2 linked regions of the Caenorhabditis elegans genome follow. The protein of the gene in region 2 purifies or fractionates together with the protein of the main gene of each other region. This does not show direct contact. Each region holds a gene or a part of one and is shown on either strand. Other genes may lie near its edges. The genes, in order: syx-16 and scyl-1.

The links.
Region 1: the proteins of scyl-1 (region 2) and syx-16 fractionate together in Caenorhabditis elegans (co-fractionation; one large-scale study listed by BioGRID). This does not show direct contact.

Annotation. Positions count from the first base shown.
Region 1 is NC_003281.10:5,206,226-5,211,667, reverse strand, and holds syx-16 (t-SNARE coiled-coil homology domain-containing protein), read left to right. Parts: upstream 1-2,558; 5' UTR 2,559-2,737; intron 2,738-2,784; coding exon 2,785-2,953; intron 2,954-3,082; coding exon 3,083-3,341; intron 3,342-3,391; coding exon 3,392-3,533; intron 3,534-3,580; coding exon 3,581-3,834; intron 3,835-3,879; coding exon 3,880-4,045; 3' UTR 4,046-4,101; downstream 4,102-5,442. Other genes in the region: ATPase morc-1, read left to right, coding at 4,774-4,853, 4,909-4,997, 5,049-5,442.
Region 2 is NC_003283.11:13,035,677-13,044,462, forward strand, and holds scyl-1 (Protein kinase domain-containing protein), read right to left. Parts: upstream 6,046-8,786; coding exon 5,926-6,045; intron 5,873-5,925; coding exon 5,750-5,872; intron 5,705-5,749; coding exon 5,582-5,704; intron 5,533-5,581; coding exon 5,235-5,532; intron 5,186-5,234; coding exon 4,792-5,185; intron 4,740-4,791; coding exon 4,069-4,739; intron 4,021-4,068; coding exon 3,833-4,020; intron 3,786-3,832; coding exon 3,521-3,785; intron 3,415-3,520; coding exon 3,265-3,414; intron 3,211-3,264; coding exon 3,080-3,210; 3' UTR 1,218-3,079; downstream 1-1,217. Other genes in the region: W07G4.2 (L-Fucosyltransferase), read right to left, coding at 27-143, 188-348, 391-467, 716-761, 806-890; lap-2 (Putative aminopeptidase W07G4.4), read left to right, coding at 8,053-8,217, 8,269-8,423, 8,755-8,786.

The sequences.
Region 1 (5,442 bases), on a different chromosome or scaffold from region 2:
TGTTCTTTTCAATCTGAATGCAAAAACTCCCCTTGCTAAAAAAAATCCCTCATCTCTGCCTACACGCCTAGATCAACCTTACCTACGCCTACAGACATGTCTCACGTCAGTTGTATTATTGAAACAACAAGATCCTAAAAAAATCCAAAAATGATAAGTGGTCTGAAGGTATCGAGAAGGCTGCGTATGTGTGTCAACTCACAAGCGCGGTCCGGCCACTGCACCACGCGGTCGCTTTTGTCTGCTACCTTTCGGTCCTGAACCATCCACGACTCCTTATGCACCCGGGACTAACCGCCTTCCGACAGTTATCCCCTGGTGACGTAGCGCTTGGCACGGACGCTCGGTCGACGTAGACAACGACATACACAGGACTCCTCCTCTCACTCCATCCACACTTATCTACCGTCAAGAAGCTGACTCACAAGCGCCCGCCACGACGCTCGGTGGTTTTTCGCAATGCGAAAGGAAAGACGAGTCTATGGGGAAAGGGAGAGTGCAACGGTCAGAACGTTTTATTTAGTACGTGAGTTTTGTTGCAATGCTTTATAAAATAGCATTTTTAATATAGAACACTTTTGGTAATTACCTAATTGCAATAAATGCGACCCGTAGGTCCTGCCGCGCGCAAAACTTTTCAACTACAGTACCCTTCAACTACAGTATTACGGTGTGTGTTTTCTTTTCTTTTTTAATTTCAATACACTTTTTATTAACTCTTCAATAAAAATAGTTTGAAAACTAAAGGACAACGCTTAGTAATTTAATTTTTCAAATATTTGATGCCAATCTGTCGATATAAGATATTTGTAAAAATGTTTCTATTTTATTCGGTTATGTAACAGCTGTCTGACGAACTTTTTTGCGGCTAAAGGGTCACTTGTCGTCTTTGTGATTGATATATTTCACTTTGTTTCATATCATTCTCTCATGTGAACTAAACAATTATTTATGTTGGTAAGCAACTGTTTACCAGTGTGGCTAATAACCCTAATTTCGTTTTTACACTACTGTTTGAAAATTATGATCAGAAATTCGAGCATTTTCAATGTTGCAACAAAAAATTTTCAAAAAACGATCTGATAATTGGTCGTTGTTGAAGAACTTTTGGGTAAATATACAGTAACCTTGGTTTTCTAAGTCTCTCATTGTGATACAATCACTAAATGTCCACGTAATAGATGATTTATTTCTTTGTGTGCCTCCTCCACACATCTCGATGTAAAGTGTTCGATTATTGTAAAGCATTCTACTTTCTTGTGCACAATCATAAAATATATTATTCCTCCGTTAAAACACTTTTGTTCTTTTTTGAATTTTATTGTTTAAAATGTGATACGACAATTTAAAGGCGCATGCCGTTTTTTCTGCTCGTAGAATGTGTAAATTCACATTCTGAAATGCATGAAGATTGATCTGAGTCACCATAAAATGTAAAAAGTCACACATCTTTCAAGACTTAAAGTGCAATTTTTTCTTTTCCAATTTTGTAAAATATTTCCACTGAAAAGAAACAATGTGTTGTGATTATTTGCAGAATTTGCGAAAAAGAAAAGTTTAGAAATTCTGAAAAAACGTGCGTTGGACTTGCAAAAACTAAAATTTTTCTTGGCAATAAGTTCTTGTTTTTTACGAACACAGTGTACAATCTTACTATTTATTTTTTTCGAATTATTTCAGTTTTCAGCCGAACGTATTTTCTTTCTGAACAATGCCACTGGACACATCAGCATGAGCTACACCAACGGAATTGGCCATAGCGGTTTTTGACTTTACAGCATTAGCACCGGTCATTGAGCACGAATTGAAGATGAAAAATTCTTTAGATAAAATTTGAAACCTTATAATATTCTTCTAAAAGTACTATTCCTTTGCTTCCTGGTCTGATCGGTGCTTCAATCTCATACATACCTGCATATCTATTCACTAATCATTCTCACTTTGATCTTGTCATTGGGAGCTTTTCAGGTCCAAACGTTGCATACGTTTGAGTGTTTTATCAATTAAAAGCTAAAAACAGTCAAGTCTGATGTATCAATGCCAAAGGATGTTGTTTTCCACTGTTTTGAGAATCGAAAAAAAAAATTGTTTTCAAAATTTTCGACTTGCCTACATATTTTAGTTTTTATTTTCCAGACTGAGTTTTTCAGAAAGTTGTTAATTTTTTCATTTCTGTTGCTAATATTTTAAATTTAGAAATTTATTTTCAAAATTACAATCTACGATTTTTGCACAAAAATTCGGTGCCAAAAATCAGCACGACAAGTTTTCGTTAAATAAAAGAAGTGTGCACCTTTGAAGAGTACTGTAAATTTAAACTTTTGGTGTTGATTATCAATTTTCTAAATGTTTTGAAGAAAATTTAATTTTTTATTAAAAACTAAAGCGAAATAATATGAAAACACTTGAATTTGAACAACTCGAGAGAAATACTATGTATGAAAAATTTCAAACTACAGTAACCTTTAAAGGCGCACACCTTTTCGCATTTAATAAATATTATCGTGTCGAGACCGGGCGTCGTATTTTCGGAGCTGAAATCGCAAAATTTTGCGTTCAGGCTTTTCATAAAACAATAAATGTGGGTTGAATGATTCTTTCGCTCGCCGGCAACTTTTTTTCTTTCCATTTATCGCAGCCGATATGCAAGAAAATTCCAAAGTAAACACGCTCCATCGCACATTCCCCTTTTTCCTCTCCAAATTGATGTCGTTCGCTGGATAACGTCACTCTGGAAGTAAATTTGCAACGTTTTTATTCTAGCATTTTATTGATTTTTTCCAGATGGCTTCCTCTTCTGTTACCGCTGCTGCAAATGCTGCAAAGAAAAATGAAATTTACGGAACAACGAGAAATTTGACAGAAGTTTTTATGCTTTTACGTTCAAATGCTCATCAAAGTCGATTAATTTATAAAGATGATACAGATATAATTGTGAGGAGTCGTGGTGATGGTGAGTATTCTGAATTGGTTCAAATATTCATTAAATGACTTTTATTAAATAGGTTTTTCTAAAATCTCTTCTTTTCAAATGATCAAATTCTGTACTGCGAATTGCAGTCTGCAATAATGTATTTTTCAGAAGAACGAATGGCCTTAGTGGAACTTGAAGATGGGCGACAAGAATCCGATGAAGAGCCAGTTTGGATTCATACTGCTGATCAAGTAGAATTCGAAGTTGAAAGAGTTCAGAGAAGACTAGATGAACTTGGAGAGGCACAGAGAAAACACATTTCGCGACCTAATTTTGGAGATGAAGCATTCGAAAAAGAAGAGAAGCAAATGGAACAGACGACGGAGCAAATCACTCAAATGCTCACACATTGTCAAAGGCTAATCAGGTTTGTTATTTACAGACTCGGTTTGACTTAGGTAATTCAAAATTTTCCAGAATGATATCTGGAAGTCATAACAAAGAAAAACCTATGCAGCGAAAGTTAAGAGAAAATGCTGCTGCAACCCTGAGCCTAACACTTAGCCAAATTACCGATGAATTTAGAGGAAGACAACTGAAATATTTGAGTGATATCCAGGTAAGCGATTTGAAAAAGTTTCATTCAGCACATCAAAATTGTTTCAGAATCGTTCCCGTAACGTGGACAATTACCTTATCACAACAGATCCACTGATTGATGCTCCCAATTGGGCTGAGCTAGATGTGTCACCATCTACAGAAATATCAATGGCCCAGCTTCAACAATTTATGAATAACGATCGAGAAGTTCGAGAGCGCGAAAAGGAAGTGATGGCTGTGAACACATCAATTAGAGAATTAAATACACTCTTCCAGGATTTATCAGAAATGATTGTAGATCAAGGAAGCGTCATTGATAGGTAAAACGAAGCTTTAAGGTCAATTATAGTAAATTTTAATTTCAGAATAGACTATAATGTTGAACAGACCTCGATTCGTGTGTCGAAAGCAGTTGAAGATGTCTTCAAAGCGGAACGATATCAAAAAGGAAACAAAAAAATGCATTGTATTTGTATGCTCACTGTTGCCATTATTTTTGTACTGATTCTTATTATTGTTACTAAATTGTAATTCTTTTACTTCAGTAGTTTTATTTATATTTTTTGAATAAACCGGGTATTTTATTGATTTCTCTAGTTCAATCAATGAAATTCTAATTTTAGATTCCGGTTAGATTCCGTAATGCAGATATTTCCTTGTTTTATTCAAATTTAAAATTCTTCCACTACTTAATCTGTAATTAAAAATGTTCTCTATATAAAACTCGTGCACATCACTCTAGAGCAGGGATTCATTATGTTGCCGCATTTTCACTCGGATCATGTTACTCTTCGAATTCCTCTGATAATTTAGTCATTTTCTTCCGTCTAAATTCGTTTAAAATCAACTGATTAACGCCAAAGCCAATTTTTCTTTCTCTTTCCGCCAAAAGCCTTGAAATTGACTACCGTAACACTTGTCGCTTCGAGACCCAGGCCGCATTTCGGACCGCCCGCAGCACGCGTCGCGGAGCTTTTGGGCGAGATATTTCGAAAAATGTTGTTGTTGTGTTTTCCTTTCACGATTTTTTTCTTTTGGGCGCAAATAATGGCTTTTTAATACCGGATATATGCTGCATTGGCCTAAAGTGTTTCGAATGGCCCACAAAATTCCATTTGTCCTCTGTTCGGGCCTCTATTTTTCAATGTCTTTAACCTTTTCTCAAGTTTACCTTTTTCTCCGTCGATCACCCTTTTCTTCAAGGACTATTATCCAAAAATGATTGATTTAAATATATTTCAGCATTTACGAAAATAATGATGCCCAATGACACTAATGGGGATGACTACAAAAAGCTGGAAAAAGCTTCAGTGAACCTCAACTTCCTGAAAAGCAACAGGTAAATTTTAATCTTTCTAAAACACATTCAAAATCAATACCCATAAAAATTTCAGTCACACCCACATTGGTCCCTTGTCGGCAATAGCAGAGCTAGTGGATAATGCGTATGACGCAGATGCGAGAGATCTTCACATCGATTTTCGTAAGTTTTGAATTGTTAATTTCAGTAGAGAGAAAATGTTTATATTTACAGTGGACATCAATAATGAACAGTTTCTTGAACTTCGTGATGATGGACTGGGCATGGCTCGCGAAGAGGCACTTCACGCCATCACGTTTGGACACTCAGCAAAATGTTCTTACAAAATCGGCCGATATGGCAACGGACTCAAATCTGGAGCATTTCATTTGGGACGTGAACTGTTACTGGTAACGAAGAAAGACGGAATTATAACAGCTCTCCTCATTTCTCATCGCTTCCATGAAGACCAAGGACTGACGAATTCGGTGTTTGTGCCGTGCCCTTCTTTCGACTTGGATGGTATTCCAATTTGTCAAACCGAAAGCGAAAAAGATCGTTTCAATCTTGAAATGAAGATTATCGGTAAATATGCTCCACTTGGATCCAGAACTCTTGCTGAATTGGC
Region 2 (8,786 bases):
TATAATAGCAATAATGTCATTAGAACCTGATAATAGTATCCAGCTAAATGTAAATACTGATCTTCATTATTTTCAAGAATCGTTGGTTCCACGTAGACACAACATCGTGAATTGAAGTTGATGAATTGTGTTGGTGGTGGAACCTTAACAATTTTCAAATTCAACTATATATTATTTTTAAACAAACCGTTCCATAAACAATTTCAAATTGATCTATCAATCCAGGAATAGCTTCTTTCACTTTGTTCAACATATTCAAATAAGTTTTATCTTCCACAAAGAACAAGGATTTACGATGTAGCTGCCTTGACATTCCCAATAAAGCAGCCATTTCAAAAATGTGATTTCCTGAAACTTATTTCTTTAAATTTTATGATTTTTTTCAAATACCTAATCTCATTCCTGCTGCGAGCCTGCTTGAAAGATATTTCTTGTTTTTATTAGAATTGGTGAAATACTCTGAAGTTCTGAAACATTTGAAAATGTCTACAGTTTTATAGAATAAGGCCAAATTTCTGGGTTAAATAGACAAACACCTATTCGGTAGTACGCTTCCGCCTCATGCCTACTTCAAACCTTCCCACTTTATCTACGCACCAAGCGCTTCCCTGCCCCTCTACATACCTCTTATCTGTCTATGTGCCTACCTCAAGCCTACCTATATTTATGTCTTTTTTTATTGTGTCTTGAAATAATTATCGGTGTTTGGACTTACATTGGTAACGTAGTTCTATTGCAAACATTTGTAGATAGAATTATTACTGTAATTGGAAGTTTGAACTTTTGAATGTTCCTATTACCCTACCAGTTAATATCAGAAAAATTACAAATAACCGAGTTTTGAACATTTTCGTAAGAAGTGAGGGTGTTGGTGGTTGAATTTCGGTCATTTAGTAAAGCTGAAAGAAGAAGAGATGAAACAGGAGTAGTTACAAAATGCATGTTTCGATGTTTCGTAATTGATGTGATCCCTTTCCAATACATCGAATCACAGCATGAGTCCAACATGTATGGGCTGCACATTTTTGTCCCAAAAGAACATCAAGTGTAATTTTGTTTTCAAACATACCTCAAGTCTGCCTACGTACCTTCCCATATTTGCCTACGAGCCTATCTCATGCCTACCTACTTGCCTAAACTTTTGTTAGTGTCAAAAATTACCTTTTGCACCACAGCAACACAGCATGGGTCCGACGATTCAATAGTAAAACCAAGTGTACATTTTTTAAAGTTTTATTTTAACCATCATAATTTTTTTGAAAAGAAAGAACATGAAATGCGAGCAATTTTTGTTTGGAAGCGAAGGAAATGAGAAAAAGAAAGAAAAACATGAATAGAATACGTTAATGGATAGAATCACAGGAAATTGTTTGATGTACTTACAAGGGAAGTCTTTGAGGGGGTCCGTAGATTTGGGGTTCTCATGCTAAAATTCCTACAGAAGAGTGTTAGTTATGATCTCTCCAAAAAATTTAGCTGCCCCGGTCAAGTTTCAGCAAAGTTATGACGTTTTGAAAATTCAGTTAAAAACACCATTGAAATCCACTGTCTTACCATGCAGTCCACGCAAATCTCAGCTTGCGTGACCACCGAAAATGTGACACCCACAACATTGAGTTGAAAAATGTCCTCGGTGGCCGAGTTGGGAGTGCGCGCGTCTGATAAGATTTAAGCTTTGGTTCGATTCCTTCTATTTTTGTAAGTTGAATAAAGTTGTAAAACAACTCATTCAAACATTTTTGCGCATTTTTAAAGTGATTTTATTCTTATTCGGGAACCTAGAATCATTGTCCGCACTTTTTGGAAATTTTTATTTTTTTCATTTTTGCTCAAAATTTCTTGATCAACTCCAAGCAAAAAAATCAAAAAATTTCATTTTTCTAAACAATTATGAAATTGCTATGTTGTTGTTCAGAAATGTATGAAACGTACATTACACAAGTTTTAACTCTCTATTCGCAAGTAAACCGTCGAAATGATCTACATCTCACGAACTTTGTGCAAAATATTTAACCAACTTTGAAGTTGCATAACTTCATTGAGATAAATTATTGTGAAAAATGATCAACTAACAAAATGTTTGTTGAATAACAGTGAACAAAGTTTTAGTTATAAACTTTTTGATACCTCCAGCTACAAAGAAGAAAACAAGGTTGGCATTTGGCTAGTTTTTCTATTAACATTGTGTTTTGGAAAACGGTCACAACTTTTTGGTGGCTGAAGGTATCAAAAAGTTTATAACTAAAACTTTGTTCACTGTTATTCAACAAACATTTTGTTAGTTGATCATTTTTCACAATAATTTATCTCAACGAAGTTATGCAACTTCAAAGTTGGTTAAATATTTTGCACAAAGTTCGTGAGATGTAGATCATTTCGACGGTTTACTTGCGAATAGAGAGTTAAAACTTGTGTAATGTACGTTTCATACATTTCTGAACAACAACATAGCAATTTCATAATTGTTTAGAAAAATGAAATTTTTTGATTTTTTTGCTTGGAGTTGATCAAGAAATTTTGAGCAAAAATGAAAAAAATAAAAATTTCCAAAAAGTGCGGACAATGATTCTAGGTTCCCGAATAAGAATAAAATCACTTTAAAAAGGCGCAAAAATGTTTGAATAGGTTGTTTAAAACTTTATTCAACTTACAAAAATATTTCAAAAATAGAAGGAATCGAACCAAAGCCTAAATCTTATCAGACGCGCGCACTCCCAACTCGGCCACCGAGGACATTTTTCAACTCAATGTGGTGGGTGTCACATTTTCGGTGGTCACGCAAGCTGAGATTTGCGTGGATTGCATGGTAAGACAGTGGATTTCAATGGTGTTTTTAACTGAAATTTCAAAACGTCATAACTTTGCTGAAACTTGACCGGGGCAGCTAAATTTTTTGGAGAGATCATAACTAACACTCTTCTGTAGGAATTTTAGCATGAGAACCCCAAATCTACGGACCTCCTCAAAGACTTCCCTTGTTAGGATTTGATACAAATGGGGTCGAATAAAACAGTTTTAATTACAAAAATGTGAAATACAAGTAGGGTGATCTCTACTACAAAACGAAGCGAGTTTCTTGTTACCAGTCAGCAAAATCGTCCATTTTCTTTTCTACAGATGCCAATTTCATTGCTCCGGCAGATTTTTTGCGATCCATTTGTTCTTTGCGACGAGCTTCATTTCTAGCCTGCATCTCGGCTCGACGAGCATCTGGAAAATGAAAAATGCAAGCGGATTGTTATTCTCCAACAACGGTGACCGTACCTTTATCATCCTTCATTTTCGTTGGTTGGAGTACTGCAGTTGGCTGAAGCACATTGCTTGACATACTGTTATCACCCCATCCATCATCGTCCCATCCTTTGTTAGCTGATGAATTATTAGTTGTTGGTAAAGGATCATCGAATCCCCATCCTGAAAATATACATGTTTTCAGATAACATTAAAAAAAGATCAAACAAGTTTCATAACTAAATTCTACGTGAGAAAATAAAACATATGCTAAGGAAATAATATTTACCAGTATTTGTAGAAGAGGAAGAATTGTTCATGAGAGCATTCAGCGAATTCGGCTTGACTGAAGATCCCGCAGCTGGAGGTGCTGATATTCCGAGAAGTGCATCAATATTGTCATCAATAGCTTTTTTGGTTTGTTTCTGAGCAGATGATCCTGCCAGATTCGATCCTAAGTTTAATCGTCCAATTGTTGGCTTCTTCGCGGCTGCAGACGAACTAGATGATGACTTTTTGACTCCAGGAATGGGAGATGATGTGGCAGTTGCTATCTGAAATAAGACAATATGGTTTAAGTAAATAAAACCTTAATTCTTACTGGAGTATCCCAACCAACTCCCCAGTCATCAGCATCATTAGACTTCGTGTTGATATCAGCCCAATCATCAATAGCAGAATCATTTGAATCCTTCACTGCGAACATATCTCCTCCATCTGTTAAATCTCCCCAACCATCATTTGTTGCAGGTTTAGCAGGGGTTGGTTTGAGAACTGTGCTTGATTTTTCTGAAAATAAAAATATTAACAACTTATTGAAAAAATTGCAGAACAAACCTTTCTCCGCCGTTGGGTTAGGTGTTACTGGTCTTGAGGAAGTATCAGCAGTAGCTGGCGCTCCTGGTTTGACTTCTGCTGGAGGTGGTCCCTTATAAAACTTTCCAGATAATGACTTGAGAGCCCAACTTGCCCATTGTGGAACTTTCTCGTGGTCCAGAATAGAACTTGCTCCGGCTTTAACTCCAGCTTCGAGTTCAGGAATGCAAGCTGGATTTTCAGATGCTTTTTCAAGTTTTTCAAGGAATCCACGAATAGCCTTGAATGCTTGATCTCTAACTTGTTTTTCAGGATCACAAGTCAACGGAATGAGACTCGGAACAATTCGGTTGGAAATTTCAACGAGTGGATAGAACTGTTGAGTTGCAGAAAGCGCTAGAACTGAAGCCATTCTTGATGGTGCAAACGGATCCTTCAGAGCTCTAGTAAATGCGCTTATTAATATTCCTTGTCGTTTAGCAGGTGCAATCAGGTGTCCGATCTTCCCGAGGCAAATGGTAGTGTTGGTTCGAATACCTCCATGCTCATCTCCTCCTTGTAAACGGGCAAGATACTTCATCAATTCGACATTTAAATTATTGTAGTTGAGTTTCTCTGCCAATGAAACCATTGCTTTGACTGTACTTTCGCGAACTGCTGGATTTGTGTCCAAGAAACCAGATGTTAAATTTCTGAAATTAAACATTTAAATAAGAATTTCAGATTTCAGAGAAAAAATCTAACCCAAATATTTTGTCGTTCAAAATTTGTGGAGTCAAATGAGGTGCAAATTCATCGATTCTTTCTAACAACTTGACTCTTGTAGTTCTATCTGGACTGCCAAAAAGTTTGCACAAACATGGAACAATTGTTCTCTGATATTCTGCTTCATCAAGAAGACGTCCAAGTTTGAACAGAGGAATTAAAATATTCGGTCCTGCATCTCCATATTCATAGGTAAGAATAAGTTTTGGAAGAATTTTATATTTTGCTACGTCTTCTGGGAAGATATCAATATTTTCTCGAAGATGCATGAAGAACGATTGTTTTTCGCTAGCTTCCTTCAGTTCGAATTCTTCCAGGAAAAGTAGAGTATCCACGAATTTATTCTTCAAGTATCCCCCAGTGAGTCGATATTCTGAAATCTTTGAAACTGAATAAAAACAACAAAATTAATTTTGGATTATCTTTAATAATATCACAAACTGCAAGTCGTGCAGCTGATTGTGCTCCAATTTTTTTGTATAATTCGTGTATCCGTTGTGGTATCTTCCCTGGAGCCTGTGGTCTTGTGATAGCGTCATTGAATCCATTGAAAACTTCCCATAAAACAATTGCTAATTGATTTAAATCTGTCTGTGGACTAGTGAATCCAGTGACCAAATGAAGTCCACCAATTTTCCAATCTCCTCCGGCTGTTACAAATACTCCTTTACGCAGATTTTCGTGACTTAGTTTAGCTTCGTGCATAAATTTTAGAGCGTTCTGAACAAAAATAGATTATTTGTAAGTTTACAACTATTAAAAAACATACTAATAACTGAAACATTCCCCAGGAAACAACAAATTCTTTTTGGCTTTCAGTGAGACCGGCTTCCTTTAAATACAGCTCCAGTGGTTTACATTTTTCCGTGACGAGGTAGAAAGTTCCTTCTAGCTGAAAAATCCGTTCGTGTGAAGTCATCAAATTGCGAAAACCCACTTCAATACTATCTAAATAAGTGATAATGTTAGGATGGCGCATGGTTTTCAGCTTTTGTGCTTGTTGTTTTAACGTTGAACTTCGGTTGTCCCAGAAGATTGTTGCGAGTTCACCGGGTTCAGCCTACAATATTTATTGAAAATATTCATTGAACAGCTAAAAATGCAAAAACTCACTTTCTTAAAGCTATTTCCGATCGAAACTCGATCGAAAAAGTGTTCTTCTGCTCCAGGAATGTCATATGGGAATTGGGACTTCGGATCCCGTTGGAAGAAGGATGACAACACCGATGCCATCCCTAAAAGTGATCGAAATTTATAAAATAATCTCTCCGTAAAATTGAAACGCTGGAAAACCGGTCGGGTTACGTGGAAATCGAATTTGAACACATTTAATAGAAAAAGGGGCAAGATTGTCACTACTGACGCATCGATTGCAGTTTCTCTGCGTCTCGTCTCTCTTTCACTCACTTTAAAAGATGAGAATAGACTCATTCTCGTTTATTTTGGCTTTGTTTTTCCTAGTTTCTCTGGTTTCTCAATGAATTTATATAAATCTTACCGAAAATAGTGAAATGCGATAGAACTGAAACATAATAATGTTTTATCAAATTACTAGAGCTTCAGTTTACATTTAGTTTTTCAGAATGTCTAGAAATGATCTGGTATTTAATGAAAAACATTGAAAGAGACAAAGAAAAATATATTCGAAAATGATTCAAAAGAATTTTAAAAACCAGTGACTGTACTTCTCGTGCCGATGCCCATCACTTTGGTCGCATCTGCGCCTTTAAAATCTACAGTACCCTTGCTCAAAATTCTTCGATAATTTTTTTAGCTCTCACTATTTAGTCAGCACTTTTCCTTTTTTTCCATATCTTTTAATGATTTTTCTCCTCGTATATATTAAATTCCTTCTATTTTTGATCGTTTGATCACAATAATGCTTCTGGAATGTCAGTCACAAAATAGTACACCTTCGAAAACGCGATAAAGGTGGGAAATTCCGTGATGACAACATTTTTTGGCTCGCAAATCAAGTTCTGCACAGCCCCGCGTGTAAGTGTGAATATTTGTGTGTATGTCTTACACCTGATAACACATTTCTCTGAAAACTGACGACCTAATCGCCTCCGGCCTGAACCAACATGCCCTATGGTGTCGAATGATGCAAAGCGCTCGAAAATTTATAGTTTCGAACTTTCATATTCCCATTTCTAATTCAAAAAATTTGCGGAATTTTTTCCCATACTCATTTTATAGAAAAAGACCAGAACGTCAACCAGTCTTCCGCTAAAATGTGTATAAACGGGTCAGTGTTTATCAATAGACAGCCCGAAAACTCACTCGACCAATACTGCTTTTTTCGAGATTTCTAAGCGGAAAATGGAAATCGATTTGTTGTCATGTGATGTTTGCTGCGAAACGTTCGCGAAAATTAATTGTTTCCGTTTCTATCAAAAGAACAAAATTCAATGTATCCGTTTCTATAATTACAAAAGAACGCATTGTTACAGAATAGGTTTTTTTGTCAATTTTGTATGCTTTGCAATCTTTTTGCGCTCAAATTTCTGATCATTTTACTGTGAGACCATTCTCTGATTCTTCCGCAAAATAAAAATTTCGACATCGACCTCGACGTTTATTTAAATAAGTTCTAATATCATTATTTTCATGACGTGTGCTCAGGTTTTCCTTGAAATCTAATTATAAGTCACATATTTCTCTAATTTCCTCTGGAAAAGTCTCGAAATTTGGCGCCATCAGGAAACCTACGTCAATTTCATTTTCTCCGAATCTCCGCCCACTTTCTATCATTTATAGCGACTAGTCGCTCCAAAAGTTTCAGTGTCTGCCGGTGATTTCAGTGCTCTCCCATGCTTGTACAAACACGCAATAAATTATAAATCAAATTAGCAGACAGCCGACTTGACGGCGTTTATCAGCCTGTCAGTCAGCCAGCTGAGAGAGTAGATGACATCGCAGATGTGTCCCTCCTTTTCCTTGTTTCAACATATGCTACTGATAAGCGTTAATTAAAGACGCACATCGTTTTTCATTTAATGATTTTTATTCCAGAATTGCGTGCACATGACTGAATTGAACTCTTTTCGTTCAATGAGCGCAGTATTTTCTATTTATGGCTTTATCGAAAAGAACTAGCCTGCCATCTCTTTTGCTCCTACAAACTTCATAACCACTTCTCTTCAAACCTTGAAACTCAATTTCTTATATATCCTCCTTCTTCCCGCCTTCATATTTCTCATTTTATTTATATCGCTTTCAGGGTATATTTCCTTTTCAATGTCACTTCAATCCCTCCTATCTACAAAAATAGTCCGCGCGACATCAATCGCCGACGCCGCTTTTGATGCTGTCGTGCTCGTCGGAAGTCAGGACAATGTTCAACAGTTCGGAGCGATCCAACAGGTCTCCGCAATCGCTCCAGCCGTTAACAATTTCTTAAAGGTTCGCCCTTTTCTCAATAATCTCTAATAATACCCTAATCTTCCTTTTCAGCTACACTCTGGTGCGTTCAACTCAACGTCTCTCGTTCAAGTCGACTCATCTGTCGTTCCATCTGGACGACTGATTCTATCAGGAACTGGAAATGTGTCACGTGACTATGATGATGTCCGTCGTTACCAGGCTGCTGCTCGGAAGGGAATTTCTATGTTAGTACTAATGTGCATCCAACATCATTTTGAAGCGTATTAATTAAATGACTACACCGTTTAAGCAAATAATAGAACAATTGGCTTAGATGATTTTAATTCTAAGAGCGCGCTAATTTATTAATTCTCGTAGTACTTGGAGAAAAAATGATAAGACTTTATGGAAGACAGTTATCAGAAAACGTGCGGAGGAAAGCATAGATCAGCATAACTGATTGTGGGGGCGAACTGCGTCATTTCCGTGAATAACACCATAGGTGCGGTTTGAACGTTGGTCTAGAATAACTGTCATATCTAATGATGTCAGTTTATAATTATTATCTATTTTCAGGGCTCTTTCTGCTGGTGTTAAATCTCCACTTC